2 linked regions of the Tamandua tetradactyla genome follow. The protein of the gene in region 2 purifies or fractionates together with the protein of the main gene of each other region. This does not show direct contact. Links are inferred from orthologs where the notes say so. Each region holds a gene or a part of one and is shown on either strand. Other genes may lie near its edges.

Region 1 (7,124 bases), on a different chromosome or scaffold from region 2:
CTGAAAAACCCTGGGATGCAGAAAAATTTACTAAAATGGAATTGGAGCCCTGACTCATAAAGTATGCAACGAGTGAAGAAATACAAGTCCACTTATATCTAGAAACTAGGGCTACTATTTAAATCCTGCCTTTACATGCATTCCACATTACCTTTTTTTATGCCCATACTTTACAAGCTAAACAAAGCACCTATTTCCTTTAATCATGACACTCATGAGGATGAGCTAAATTTGGAGAGATTTTCTAGTGCCTAAATCCACAGAAACAATTCAGGAGGAAGGCTATACAGTTTTCCTACTAGATTAAGAAATTCACAACAGCAGGCTTCTATTCACTTCCTCCAGAAACAGTCCGAGGGCTTCTACTCCTTTAGGTCAGGTCCCACCACACTAAGTTAATGAGCCTTCCATGGCAATTTCAAAAGCTATTGCATTTACACATCTCTTCCCCAACCGACAAATCACTAAACCATTCTAAGAGTCAGGATTAAATTTTATGGTTCGTTGACCGAAAGAATAGATTCCCAAATCACCAATCCATGTCTAATTGTTCATTACCCCCCACCCACCCCCACACACCTTTTCCCACATAGTCTCTATACGTTCCTATTGCCACCAGACCACAAGGAGTTCATGGGTTTATATTTCAACTAAAGATCACACTTCTGAGGTCAACATAGAAGACCCCCCAAAAACTACCCACCAGCAGGAAACCTTCCAGCAAGGCCCCAGAGAAACCAGCCTCTCCCATGCTGATGACACATGTTGCTGTTTCCAATGAAAGTGGCAAAGCAAGGAAAGAGAAATACCAAGGCTGGTTTATTTCTTTGATTTTCTTTCACATGTTAAGACAGAAGGCCTTGCAGGGTCTCTCACCAGCACACCAGGCTATTCCAACCTGCCAACGCACAGTTTACTAGGAAGGAAAGTTTTTTATAGCAATGCCATTTTAAACGTGACCATAGTTTTTTTGAGGGCTGCAGTGCCTCCAGTGACTGCACTGCTCTTACCATTTGACTGAAGAATAAACGGTGACTTCATGTAAATATACACGGCTACCCTGCATTAAAAAAAGAAAGGAAGAAAAAATAGGGCTAATAGTACAATGTCAGCTCAGATGCAAGCTAAGCTAATGAGGCACATGGAAAGGCTGTTTTCGCTTCTGCCGCTCTAGATAAAGCAAACCTATGAACGAAATAAGAACTCTACAACCTATCTAATACACAGAGCTGGAAAGGAAGGAGGGAAGGAGGAAGGCAGGGAAGGCAGAGAAGGACCTCTGAAGCTACCGAACTTCGGTGTTATCATTTAGAGGTCTGACTTCAGAGCTAAAATCTGTTAATCTACAATTGGTCCCCTTTGGCTTGTTTCAGGATACTATTTTCTTGTTCCACGCTAACCCGCAATTCAAATGGAACCACATCCTTTAACTCAGAGTTTCCTGGGTTTGCTGTAACCCTGAACGTCAGAGTAATGTGGGTTACAGGATTCTGGAAAAGATAACACTGCTTTCAAAGCCGATTAGCCATTAAAAAACAACAAACACCACCAACGAAATGTACACAAGTCCAGAGCCTGACACACCTCCTTCCCTCAACAGGCGTAGATCCCGGCTTCACTACAGTGTTCAATTTCTTCCCAAACACCCGGTCCCTGGAACTGTTTAGAGACGCGGGACCGAGTGCTCCCGGCGATTCTAAGGACAGCGAGAGTTACACGGTTCCGGCAGCCTGATCACTTGGCCCTCGAAGCTTTTATTAAACACACACAGAGAAAACGAGAGGAACGAGAGAAAGTGGAACTAGGAAACCCAGGTGCACGAGGACAAACGTTCGGCCAGCGGCGGGATGCAGCCGGGACAACCAAGCTAAGCAGCGTGTAACACGGAGACGTGAAAGGAGTCCCTGGCTCCGAGGGGGAAATCACCATGACAGGCCTCGCTCCGGGGACAGAGGCGCTGTGGACCTCTGCTCACAACAGGCCGGGGGTGTCCGTTTTATTTGGCATGGAGCTGGACTGCTCCCCAGAGAAGAAAAGGACAGAGAAAGGGGCAGAAACCTAGATCATTCTTCCCGGCGAGAACAGGGGGAATAAAGGGGAAGGATGGTGGGAAGGTGTCACTGCTTGTCTCAATGGGTTGAAAAGAAACTTGGACTCCTCTCTCCAGATCTACATGACACGTTGGAAAAGCAACTGCCTCTCCCTTCCTCTCCTCCTCTTTGTGTTTCCCAACACCCCCACCTCCTAAACTTCCCACCGAATGGGATGGGGCCCCAGCAACTTAAATTGTGGAGCCGAGAGAGGAAGGGAAACAATGCGGGAGGAGTGGGATGCGGGGGGGGGGGGGGCGCAAGAAAGAAACCTGCCAACCCAAAGCCCTTGGCGGTGGCGCTGCGCCCTGTCACCCCCTCCCCGGGAGTCCCCGCCTTGCCGCAGAGGGGCCCGTGTGCGCTCCGGACCCTGGGGAAAACTCTGCTTTTAAATCCGTGGCCAGTGCGAGGCGCGGTCCCCAGCGGAGGTCTGGGGTTTCGTTACTTTCTTCCGGGGAGAGGAGTGAAGGGGACAGCGGGGCACACATCCCCTAGATGCCCCCGCGAGCACCTCGGAGAGGACTGGCAGCCGAGGAGAGAGCATGTCAGCCGCGACCCAGGGACTCGGCGGGGAGTAGGAGGCGGGGCGGCCGAGGGGAGAACGTCCGGAAAAGGGGACCGAGAGAGCCCCCGCCCAGAGTCGACGCGCCCGAGACCCCCCGCGGAGGGGCTCTCGGAGAGGGAGGGGCCCAGCGAACGCGGTGCGGGCCGGGGCCGCTGGACTGGGACGGGACCGGCACTCACCTTCTTGCCGCCGCCGCCGCCGCCTGCACCTCCGGCCAGCGCGGAGCCGCCCCCCGAGTACATGTAGTAGGCAATGCCCAGCACCCAGAGGAAGGCGAAGCACAGCAGCATCCGCGATCGCCGCCGCATTCTCCCCACTCCGCCACCCGGCGCTCGGCCGCCGGCTGCTCGCGAGTGCTGCCTCCCGCCGGCCGCCGGGAAGGGAGCGGCGGGCCGGGGATGGGGGAAAGGAGGGGCGGAGGAAGGGGGAAGGGGCCAGGGCGGGGGCGGCGGCGACTCCTCCCCCGGCCGCGGCGGCGCGGGCTGCCTACAGCGGCCGGGCGCGCAGAGACGGCTGCCCGGCTCTCCCCGCGGCGGCTGGGCCGAGAGCTCCGCCCCCTTCCCCCGCCCCGGGCCGGTGGCGGCCGAGCGGCTGCCTAGGCAGGAAGCAGCCGGCCTCGGAGGCGGCGAGACGGGTCAGGGAGCAAAGGGCGACCAATCGGCGGCGGCAGTGGGGGCTGGGGCGCCGGGCCGGGAGGAGGGGATTAGCCGCGTCTCCATGGCTCCAGCACGCCGGGACTCCGCCGGGAGGGCCTCCGCGCTTCCCCGCGCCGCTCCGCCCCCCCCCCTCCCCCCGGCCCGCCCGCTCCTCCTCCGCGCCGTCCCAGCCGCCTGCCTCCACCCCTACGTCCTCCACACAGCGGGATTGCCCCCACCCCCCACTTCGTGAGTGACAGGTGGCTGCCCCGGGACCGAGGAGGAGCGCGCGCACATGGGCGCACATTCGCGCCCACACGTACCCAGGGACCTTCACATACGTTCCTTGTGGTGCTGGTAACCTAGGTGCTTCCCTTCCCAGAATACCACCTTTTCAAGTCCTCGGTCTTTTGGGCCGCCTCAGACCCTTAAAACGCTTTCTCTTAATGCCCAAAGGTCCTGAGACTTTTAGTGTAATTCCTCGCCTCCAGCACCCGACTTTTCTGTTGCTCGCTGCCAGTTTCCTTACTTATGTTTCAGCAAAACATACCGTGATCACCAGGTGTTCATTTTGTTTATTTATTTGGGGGCAGAGGTGGGGGCTTTGAGATGGAAATTGTGAGAAGGTGATTTTCAAGTGAGTGTTTTTCGGAGAATGAACAGAGCAGGATTATATAGTCTTTTTTTCTCAGTCGCTGCTGTATTGAGGGAGAGGGGGGAGAAAAAAGGGCTCGCTAAGTATCTTGAAGACGCTTATATGTCTTGGCCAGAATGTATTTAACCTTGAAAATGCCCTTGTAAAATGCAAAGTTTCCAGTGTTCCTAAGAAGGAAATAGATGTTACTGAGCACTTGATATTTTAAAAGTGATTTCAGGAGCTTCCGTCTAGAGATAATGGCAGCTGCCTGAATCTTAATCTCTACCCACATCCTCAACAAAACAAACAGAAAGCCTTAGCCTTAGTGGGAAAGAAAACGCCATGAACTGAACTTCAAATTACTTCTTAAGTAGAAGAAAATAAAAGACACCAAATTCCAACAGAGCTCTCTCCACTGTTGCCAAGGACTTAGATAAGCTTGAAGCAAACCTGTAAAGACAAACTCCAAGACCAAGAGCTAAACACTGAACACAGGTCCAGTGCTTGATTGTTCAAGGGAAGCGATTTGAAAGAGAATGGGACAGGAGGTGGCATCCTTGAAGAAGTCTTGCTTCTGAGAAAAAAAAATCAGATGAATGGAGAGGGCAATATCCTTTGGAGGCCTGGCAATGAAGGGAAAGAAGGAAGTAAGAAGGGAAAATTCAAGAGCTTGCCAAAATAAAAGAGAAGACAGCCAATCCCTCCCCTAATTACCCATCATCTATCAAATACTTCTTTTTACTATACAGATAGAAGACACTCTTAAAACTAGGTACCCTGCCTCCAAAAGCCTTGTAATAGAAAAAAAAATCTAGTCAACTGCATAGAAAGTTATTGCAAAAAGAAAACAGAAAATTAATCACAACATTTCTGCTGTGGATCATAACACGTTCACTAATGAAAAGTCCCCCTGTATTCCACCACCCCCTCCCCCCCAAAAAAAACATTTAGCAGAAGTAAATTATGACACCACATATCAAACTGAACAAAGTATCATGAAGTTTTGAAGATTATACAGATCACATACATACATATATACACAAATATAAATTCATATACATATGTATAGCTAGAATCCAGAATTCAAAAACTAAGAATAAACTGCTCTAAAATTAGGAAGAAATACAACAAGAGTTGATCAAATTCAGAAAAGAAATTGAAAATAAAAACAAAACTACCACAAAAACAAAGAATAATTACAAGGTGCCTGTTTTAGTTTCCTGGGCTGTTCAAGCAAATTCCATGAAATTATTCGGGTTAAACAATGGACATTTATTCATTCCCTGTCTGAGGCTGGGAAAAAGTCCAAATCAAGATGTCATTAAGGCAATGCTTTCTTCCCATAGATTGGTGTTCTGGGGCTGGGTCCTGGCAATTCTTGGTCTCCTCTGTCACATGGCAGTGTCTCCTGATCTTTACCTGCTCTTCCAGCTTCTGTCATTGTCCAGCCTCTTAATTCCTGTGGCATTCTCTATCTCTGAATTCATTCTGTTTATAAAGGACTCTAGGAATAGAATTAAGACCCATCCTGATTGGGCTGGGCCACACACACTTTAGTTAAAGTAGTTTCATCAAAAGGTCCTACTTATACTGGGTTCACACTCACAGAAATGGATTAGATTTAAGAACATGTTTTTCTGGGGTACATACAGCCTCAAGCCACTACAGAGCCCAAGGGAGAATAAATGAAAATATGTAGAGGAAAAATGGGGTACAAGGGTGGTTCAGTGGTAGAATTCTTGCCTGCCATGCAGGAAGCTGGGTTCAATTACCAGCCCATGCATTTCCCAAACAAACAAACAAATACTCAACAAATGGTGCTGCAATAAGGAGATACTCACATGGAAAAATAATGAAATGTGACCCCTGCCATACAGCATACAGATTTATATGTATATATATATAAATAAATATATGAATATATATATATATATATATATAAAGACTTCAGAGAATGGCAAGAAAACAATTAAATTGAAAATAAAAGGTTCAGAGAGGAGTGGTTGAAGTGCAAGCCAGGAGAGAAGGACCAAAATACATATAACTGGAGTTTCTAAAGAAGCAACAGCAAGCTAAATGGAACAGAACTAATGCTAAAACTATAATCCCAGGAAATAATCCAGAAATAAGAGAATATTTAAATCTACATATCAAAAGTATCTTCCGTGTACCTCAGAAAAATGACCTGGAATAAATCCTTTCCAAAACATATCTTAAAACGATTCGATTTTAAAAACAAAAAGGCCAAATTACTTACAAGCATAAAAATTTAGGCTGACATCAGACTTCTTAAGAACAGCATGCAAAGCAAGGTAACGGTAGAGCAGCATTTATGAGAAACTCAAGGAAAGAAACTACCAACCAAGCTTTCTATATTAAACAAGTCTGCTCTTAGTAAGAGGCTATAGTGAACTCAACGCAAAAATTGAAAGAATGAGCAGTCCTCTCTTGAGGCATCTTAGAGAATGAGTTTCCTCCAGCCAAGAGATAACTGAGGAAAACAGCCAAAGGACTGATGGAGAACATTTAATATACTTAATTGGTAGAAGAATAGTATGCACACATCATACTTTCTGACAAAGTAGAATATATGCAATTAAATTGAAGGAAAAGAAGGAGAAAAAGGGAAAATAGTATAAGGTCATTACCATTATATAGGCAATAGATGGGAGTCAAGAGGGACCTCATAACACTGGTAGACCAGATATTAAAAGGTTAAGAAAGAAAGAAAAAAAAATAACAGAATTAAAGGCACTATAAAAAATATAAATAAAAATGTAATCACTAAAAACATAAATATTCCAAAATGCTAAAAAAATAGTAGAAGAAAAAAATACACACTAAATCGAGAAAGAACTATTATAAATATGGCGTAATACATGTGGTAATTATAATAGAAAACAATGTGGTAGAGTTGAGACCAAACCATATCAGTTCTATCAATTTACAAATGGGCTTAGTTTGCCTATTAAAAGAAGATATTTTCAAATTGGCTCATAAAGGAAAACTGGATTTTAAAAGAACAGGAGTTGTGCTCCTGATATCAGACCAAATAGAAAAGACCAAAGAGCACTAATAAAGGAGACAAAGAATAACAATTTATAGCTAAAAGCCTCATCTCCCAATGAAGATATATCAGTTGTGCTCCTTAGGATTTGGTCAGAGAAGTAGAAACACCATTAATGATATAGAATAAG
Region 2 (7,757 bases):
ATCCTCATTTTGCCACTAACTTGTACTGGGAACTGAGGAAAAAAAAATGTTGCTGGGCCTCAGTTTCCTCATCTGTCAAGGGAGGGAAGTGAAGTGGTATACCTGAAGGTCTCTTCTAGCTGCTACCTGGTTGGTACATATACCTCAATGCCTCCACTGTCCAGCAGCTCCAGAGATCCAATTCCTCCTATTTTTAAGTGCAAGCCTGCTTCTGGGCCCACCTGAGGTTGCTAATCACTTCTGTGAACGTGGCTCTTCCTTCCTTACCTTCTGGTCCAAACGCTGGTAGTCACTGGCCTTTGGCCGCCGTGCGACTTTGGATCTTTTTCCTTCCAGGACAAAAGCAATAATCTGGGGAAAGGAAAAAGGAAAGGATTAGCAGGGGGCTCTGTAATGATATGTTCCAGGGTCTGAAATCAGAGGCAGTTATCCTGGTACTACATTTTTAATGACCGTGACTGTAGAAAGAACATTATACCCACAAAGAATCCTAATTAAATCCTAATGATTTTAGTAGGACAGGACCCAGTTACATCAGAATCCTTTATACTCCTCAACAGAAAACAATTGCGGGAAAGCTCCTCTGGGCTCTAGCTTGTGGGAGTTGACTCACCAGCACTTGATCAAATATTACTAGTGAGCTGACAGGTCTGCCAATCCCTCCCCAAAGAGATCCAGAGGCTGAATTTTCCAGGCTAGGGCACTCCCTTTTTACTTTTTAATCATAATAATTATTATTTCACAACTGCAAACATACTTTCACCCCACATTTTGCTTCTTCAATTGCACTCTGTAACTTTCCCTCCCTCTTTCCACTCCAAAGGCTATTTCCCTCAAAGGAATCTTGGCTGTAGAGTAAGGGATGCACAATTTTACTAAAAGCCTTCTTTCATCCCTTACAACCATGGTCTGATGGTCTTCTAAATTCCTGGGGCTCAACAGGAAATGTGATTCTTTAGTCACTGAAGTGTTTGCAGAGGGATACTAATATCACTTCACACCAAACCCTGCAAAAGAAGTGCAATTTCTGGGCTTCTGTTTAAAGATCAAAAACCCCACTGACTGTAGTCCCTGGGCTCCTTGCTGTTGACATGTAAGACTATCTGCCACTACAGACATTCTTTTTGCCACTGTGCAAGGAAGACAGAAGCTTGAGAAAGGAAGCCAGACGTGACGCACACATCTCAAAAGCAGAAGCAAGGGGAGACAGATGCTCTAAGTACTTATAAACCGGCAGGTACTCAGCTCCTCTGAACCTAGTCATGGGTCTTAGTTCAAGATTATGGGCGGGGGGACTCACTTCAGGTCAGATCTTAACATCCCAATTTGGCACCTAATGCAGCAGCAGAGGCCACTCAGAGGAAATCGGTAATAGATGATATAGGCAACAAATGATTTATAAAACAGGCGTCAAGGACCCTAGCAGGGTTTGAAGAAAAAAATGGTTTGTCTTAAAATCTCCAGTGCTTCTGGGCTAAGGAGGGGCTGCTGACCCATACACCAAGATCTCCCCTCTCTAAGGCAACTCTTGACTTACCTTTCGCTTGTTGTGATAAGCAATATAGAGGACAGCAACAAGAACGGCTGCGGTCACCAGATACGCAAAAAAGTGGCTGCTCTCTGCACTAGCACTTCCAGGACTGCCCTTATAAAGGACACTGGATTCCCTGCTATTCACGGAATTCAAAAGCGGACCTTCTTGGTTCTCACTGGGGGCAGGGCCTGACATCTCTTTGGGTGGTAAATCCTCTTCAGGCTCTGTATTGCCTTCTTCAGGCTCCTTGGGCTGGAGATCTTCAGTAGGAGCTAAAGACTTATCTTCTCCCTCCTGCCGGGGAGAAGTGCGGTCACTGTCTGTTGATACTTTCTCCCCAGATTCTGTCTTAGAAACAGGTATGACAAGCTCTCTATTGTCAGCTTTCCTCTCCAAGTCAGCATCCTCGCCATTAGATAATCCTTTGGACCCGAGCTTGCTAGAGCTTTCGTTCGTGGACAGCTGTTGTCCTAGGTCCGGACTGTTAGAGCCTTTTGGGGGGGACTCTTTTCCAGGGTTCGAACTGCTGGAGCCTTCACTGGGGGACTGTGTTTCCGGGTCCGAACTGCCAGAGCCTTTATTAGGGGACTGTTTTCCCACGTCCGAACTGTTGGAGCCTTGTTTCGGGGACTGTTCTCCCAGGTTCGAACTGCTGGAGCCTCCTTCGGGGGACGGCTTTCTCGGGTCCGGATTGCTAGAACCTTTTTTGGAGGACGTTTTTTCCGGGTTCGAACTGCTGGAGCCTTCTTCGGGGGACAGCTTTCTCAGGTCCGGATTGCTAGAACCTTTTTTGGAGGACGTTTTTTCCGGGTTCGAACTGCTGGAGCCTTCTTCGGGGGACAGCTTTCTCAGGCCCGGATTGCTAGAACCTTTTTTGGAGGACGTTTTTTCCGGGTTCGAACTGCTGGAGTCTACTCTGAGGGACGGTTTTCTAAGGTCCGTATTGTTAGAGCCTTCTACGCAGGACGCATTTACGGAGTACGAACTGCCTCCACTGGAGTTCGGCTGGCTCACGGTGTTCTCGCTTGGGTTTCTTCCTCCAGAAGACTGACTCTCAGCCTTTGGTTCTTCAGGACGGTGGTCGAGATTATCGGCAACTGTCGTTGAGCTGGACGAGTTCCGTTCAGCTCCTGAAATACAAGGCGTTTGTTGGTCCTGGCGAGTCACGCCGGGAGAAGAAGCCCTTTAGGGCTGGAAGAGACCGGGGCGGGGGAAACAACGGTAGGACCGGGGTGGGGGTGGGGAGGAGTAGGACGATGGCGCGTGCAGGGGTGGGTCGGGAAGGGAAGAAGAGAGCCCAGAAGGTGAGGGGCCGAGGTAAGTACGGTGGGTCTGAGGGCGAGAGTGACATCTGAGAAGCGGGGGTCTTACCCCCGGCCGCGACGCTCAGCAGAACCAATGCAACCAGGAACCGCATCCTGCATGAGCCGTGCTTCCGCCCTCAACCACTCTCGCGAGATGCGCGTGCGGGATTCTCGTGCGCGGGCCCGTGGTCCCACCACCTCCCCGTCCGTCCTACCTCCTGGAGCCCATCCATTGGCTCTCTGGTATGGGGGCGGGGCTGCCCGGCGGCGGCGCTGCGCGGCCCCTGCGGAGGACCCTATCGCCTTTTCCACGTCGGCCCCGCCTTCCCCTCCCGCGCTCCGAACCTTGTTAACATCCTCCCTTACAGCACCCTTGTTCCCGCCCTGCCCTTCGGGGCCCCGGATCCTACTCTCCCATTCCTCCGCCCCGGGTCCTCCTTGCCCCGCCACTCTCCCACCTCGCCGAAACAATTTCCTCCCAGGTTGCCCAAGCCCTTCTCTAAAAAAAACATCTTTTTTCAAATCGTAAAAGTTATTCGTGTTCGGGTGCACGGGTGGTTCCGTGGTAGAATGCTCGCCCTCCGTGCGGGAGACCATGCACCAAAAAGAAAAGGAAAAAAAAGTTATTCATGTTCAAGGTCGAAAGTTTAGTGAAAGTATAGAAGTAAGAAGTAAAACCTTAGTCCCAACCTTGGCGATAATCGCTGTTGAGTATTATTTTGTTTGGCAAAAATTTAGTGTTTTCTATTAGATAATACTTTTGATGGTCCAAAAATCAAAACGGGATTTAAAAAAATCCCTGCCAGGGGCTTTTATCAATTTAGTGTGTTTCCATCTAGTGTTTTGTTTTGTTTAATTAAATACAAATGTACTTATTTTCCCTTCCTTAATTTGCATATTTTCTTTATATCTTTCTTATGCATATTCATTATCTTCCTAAATTGAGAACATTGGGTAAATACTTTTGTTTCCACTATTTACAGTTAGTGTTATGTTTATTCATTAAACATTGACTAAAAATCTTTTATGAACAGTTGCCAAGCTGGGCCCTTGGTAGACTGTGGCTATTAAAACAGTGACAGGGCCTAACTGCACGAATCTAGTGTAACATAGAAATATTAATCAAGGCGTATCTGTACAAATGTGTGTGCACCCCAATAGATGTCAAGGAAGAAAGGTACAGAAGCCCATGAGACCTGTTGAGAACGGCTCCTTGGTGCTGAGCGCCAAAGAATGTAGGCTTTCCTTGGGGAAAAAGAAGGGAGGAGGAGCTTCCCTGGCTGTCAGTAAGTGGGAAAGCCTGAAGCAGGTGGGACCTGGCATTTTGCCTAAATCTAAAGGTTAATCCAGCCTGAGAAAGAGGCTGGGAGTCAATGAACTGGGAGTTGTCCTGAACAAAAATCTCTAGGGGGCACAAAAAGTAAGGCTGGATTAACAGAAAATGTCATGCTAGCTAAGGGGCTGAAATGTGACCAAGCCCCACTCCTGCCAAAAGGACTGCAGCTGCCAGGGGAAGTAATATTCCCCTGGAATCTGTGAAGTACAATATTTAGTTTGTTGACATGCAGTTTCTAGTCCAAATTCTTTATAATTTCAAGGAATAATACGTGGCATAAATCTAATTTTAAGGAACAAGGACTGTACTGCTTTGGCTAAAGAAAGTGAATTGGTAGCTGAATTTGTTTCTGTATATACTTAATTTATATATATATATATATATATATATATATATATATATATAAGAACAATTGTAGGTTTACAGAAATATCATGCAGGAAGTACCAAGTTCCTGTATACTCCATCTCTCACACACCCAGTTTTCCTTATTAACATTTTGCATCAGTGTGGTAAATTTGTTACAATTCATGAAACAATATTATTATAATTATGCTGTTAACTTTAGCACACTGTTTACATTGTGTTGTACAGTTCCATGGTGTATTAGTTAGGATTCTCTAGAGAAACAGAATCGATACGAACACTCGCAAATATAAAATTTACAAAAGAGTCTCATGTGACCGTGGGAACGTAAAGTCCAAAATCCGCAGGGCAGGTTGTGAAGCCAACAATTCCGATGGAGGGTCTGGACGAACTCTACAGGAGAGGCTCACCAGCTGAAGCAGGAAGAGAGTCTGTCTCTTCTGAACCCTCCTTAAAAGACCTCCAGTGATTAGATTAAGCCTCACTCATTGTGGAAGACACTCCCCTCAGCTGATTACAAATGGAATCAGCTGTGGCTGCAGCTGACGTGATCATGATTTAATTCTATGAAATGTCCTCATTGCAACAGACAGGCCAGCACTTGCCCAGCCAGACAAACAGGTACCACCACTTAGTCAAGTTGACACATGAACCTGACCATGACACAAGGGTTTGTGTGCTTGCATGTGTGTGGTGACATACAAAACCTAATATTTCTCCCTTTTTTTTTTTAACCTTTTTGAATATACAATTTGGTGGTGTAAGTTACATGCACAAAATTGCATGTCTCTTTATATAATTTTAACTAATAAAAGGAAATTCTCCCTACCTTCCCTAAACAAACATTGGATTAATGTTAAAGGATACTGATTTGGTAGGGAAGCAAATTATTAAGTTTGAAATGGGGTTTAGAAGTACTTGGCAAGGGAGGAAAGAGAAATCCGGATCCTGCAGAACTTGTTGGCCATCCTCAGGGTTTTGTGTTTTGTCTTAACAGCAATGAAAAGGATTGAAGAGGTTTAAGCAGAGGAAAAAGATCATCAAAGCTGGGGATTTTTGAAAAATTCTCTGTTTGCAACATGACAAACCTTTTGAGGGAAGGAAAGAGTTAATTTAGGAGTTAACCAGTTAGGGAACTCCTGTACTAGTCCAAGTAGGACTAGCTTGGGGATGGAGAGAAGGGGTCCCATTCAAGATTAATCTGGGAGGAGACACCACAAAGATTGGACATGGGGGGATGACGGTAAGATGATCAGGATTGCTGGAGATGGGGCACAAGAAATAAATTTGCTTTGGACTCTGTGTCTTATGCCTCTGAGGCAATCCAATGGAGGTTAGGGAGTTGGAAATCTGGGCATGGAGTTCAAAGGGAAATGTAGGAGCCATTTCCTAAGCAAGTTAAACATTGCTCAAAAACACGATTTGCTAATGGTTTCACAAAGAATCATTTATGAGTTAATCATAATTGTTGTGACAATTCCCTTATTATTAAACATCTGGATTATTCTTAATTTTCTACTGTAACTACTGTTTATTAAGTTTAATACAGTAGGTGCTTTATAAAATGAGACAGACACAGAAAAGATAAAGCAATTTGCTCAAGATCACTCTATTATTTCACCTAACAATTTGATAGGAAAAAAAAAACCCTTTCTGTTGTACTTTAATATTTATTGCACAAGTGATTCCCATGACTTTGGGCAATTTACTTAATTGCTGAAAGTATCAGCTTTATTATGAGATGGAGATTAAAATATTCTGAGAATGAGAGAATTCATGTAAAGCATGGAATATAACATGGTGTCTAGCATGTGATTAGAGCTCCAAAATGATAATAATAGTTATTAATACATTCAATATATAAAGATTAATAAAGATAAGCCACAGTAAGAAAATAAAATAATCCTGTAATCCAGAAATAACTATTATAAAAATATTTTGATGGTTCTTCCTTTTATTTAGTCATATATGTGCATATGTTTGATTAATTGAAAGTAAAACAAGTTACAAAGCCATATGTACAATTCTTAGTTTGTGGGCCTCTTTGTGGTGTGGCATTTAGTGCTACTAGTCGTGTCACTTGTCTTCTGGGATGCTATCGCCTCCTTGTTTTCCACTGATTCTTTTCTCAATATACTTCAAGGGGTTCCCAGTTGTCATTAAAATGTTTCTAAAAGGAAAGTGAAATCAATAGTATCACATACAGCAAAAGGTTGAAATAGGATAAGGACCTAGAAGTAGGAATTTTAATAGAGTCATGAAAGCAAAACCTGGTTGCAGTGAATGGAAATTACTTTTGCTGGAAGTTTGGATGTGAAACATGGTTTCTAATATGGGAGAGGGTTGCAGTTATTTAAAGAGTTAAGGGAAGAACTCATTCTTTCCTGTAAGAGTGATCAAGGTTACCGAAGAGATAAGATGACTGATGAACAATGCACCAGAGATGAGGGGCTGAGGTCTAGGGTGGTTAACAGCGGACAAGGGGTTGACCTTAAGATCTGTGGACAGGTAATTAGATTGGGTAGGAGGGCAGGGCAAGATGGCAGCACAGTGAGGTGTGGAATTTAGTTGGTCTTCCAGAGCAGATAGTAAATAGCCAGGAATGGTACAGAATAACTGCTGGGGGAACATCAGTGACCAGACACACAGCATACACCATTCTGGACCAGGTGGAGTGGCTGAGAGCCCATGCAGAACTGTAAGTTCCCTAAGCTGCGGACGCCGGGATCCCTCCCCCATGGGCAGAGCAGGCTGGTTCCCCAAAGGGAAAGGAAACAGACTTTACTAGCAACAAGGGCTTAGCTCAATCATGCTCCAATTGTGGAAATAATTTTAAAATTTTGACTACTGAAAACAGGTTCCCACACAGATAAACCTGGAATAAGGACTAAAGGAAAAAGGAATTTTTGCCAAGTAGAGAAGGGAAGGGCTGATAAAAAAAAACAAAAACAAAAAAAAAAAAACTAGACATTTTTTGAGTTGGATAGCACAAAATACTGGGAAAGGGCTGGACCCCAAGAAAAGGGGCCATAGAGAGCTTGGAGATCCCCAGAGCAATGTACCAACTCACACTCTTGATTGACAAACCTGAGGAGTGGTGATGGGGGTGGGTGGGGAGCAGCTCTAAAAAGACTTGTGTTTTTTTTTTACTTCTTAAACAGCTCATTAGACAGAACTGGAAGCACTCTCAGGTTCTAGCACTGCCCCAGGCAGGGATG

What was found.
Region 1: the proteins of TGOLN2 (region 2) and GALNT2 purify together in Homo sapiens (affinity purification with mass spectrometry; 3 studies listed by BioGRID and IntAct, counting the BioPlex papers as one, with this or other methods). This does not show direct contact. The link is inferred for Tamandua tetradactyla from reciprocal best matches to the Homo sapiens genes TGOLN2 and GALNT2.

What each region holds. Positions count from the first base shown.
Region 1 is NC_135328.1:154,569,396-154,576,519, reverse strand, and holds the start of GALNT2 (polypeptide N-acetylgalactosaminyltransferase 2), read right to left. Parts: upstream 3,047-7,124; 5' UTR 2,964-3,046; coding exon 2,835-2,963; intron 1-2,834. UniProt on the Homo sapiens protein: Catalyzes the initial reaction in O-linked oligosaccharide biosynthesis, the transfer of an N-acetyl-D-galactosamine residue to a serine or threonine residue on the protein receptor.
Region 2 is NC_135343.1:59,576,413-59,584,169, reverse strand, and holds the start of TGOLN2 (trans-Golgi network integral membrane protein 2), read right to left. Parts: upstream 3,017-7,757; 5' UTR 2,952-3,016; coding exon 2,906-2,951; intron 2,665-2,905; coding exon 1,538-2,664; intron 352-1,537; coding exon 268-351; intron 1-267. UniProt on the Homo sapiens protein: May be involved in regulating membrane traffic to and from trans-Golgi network.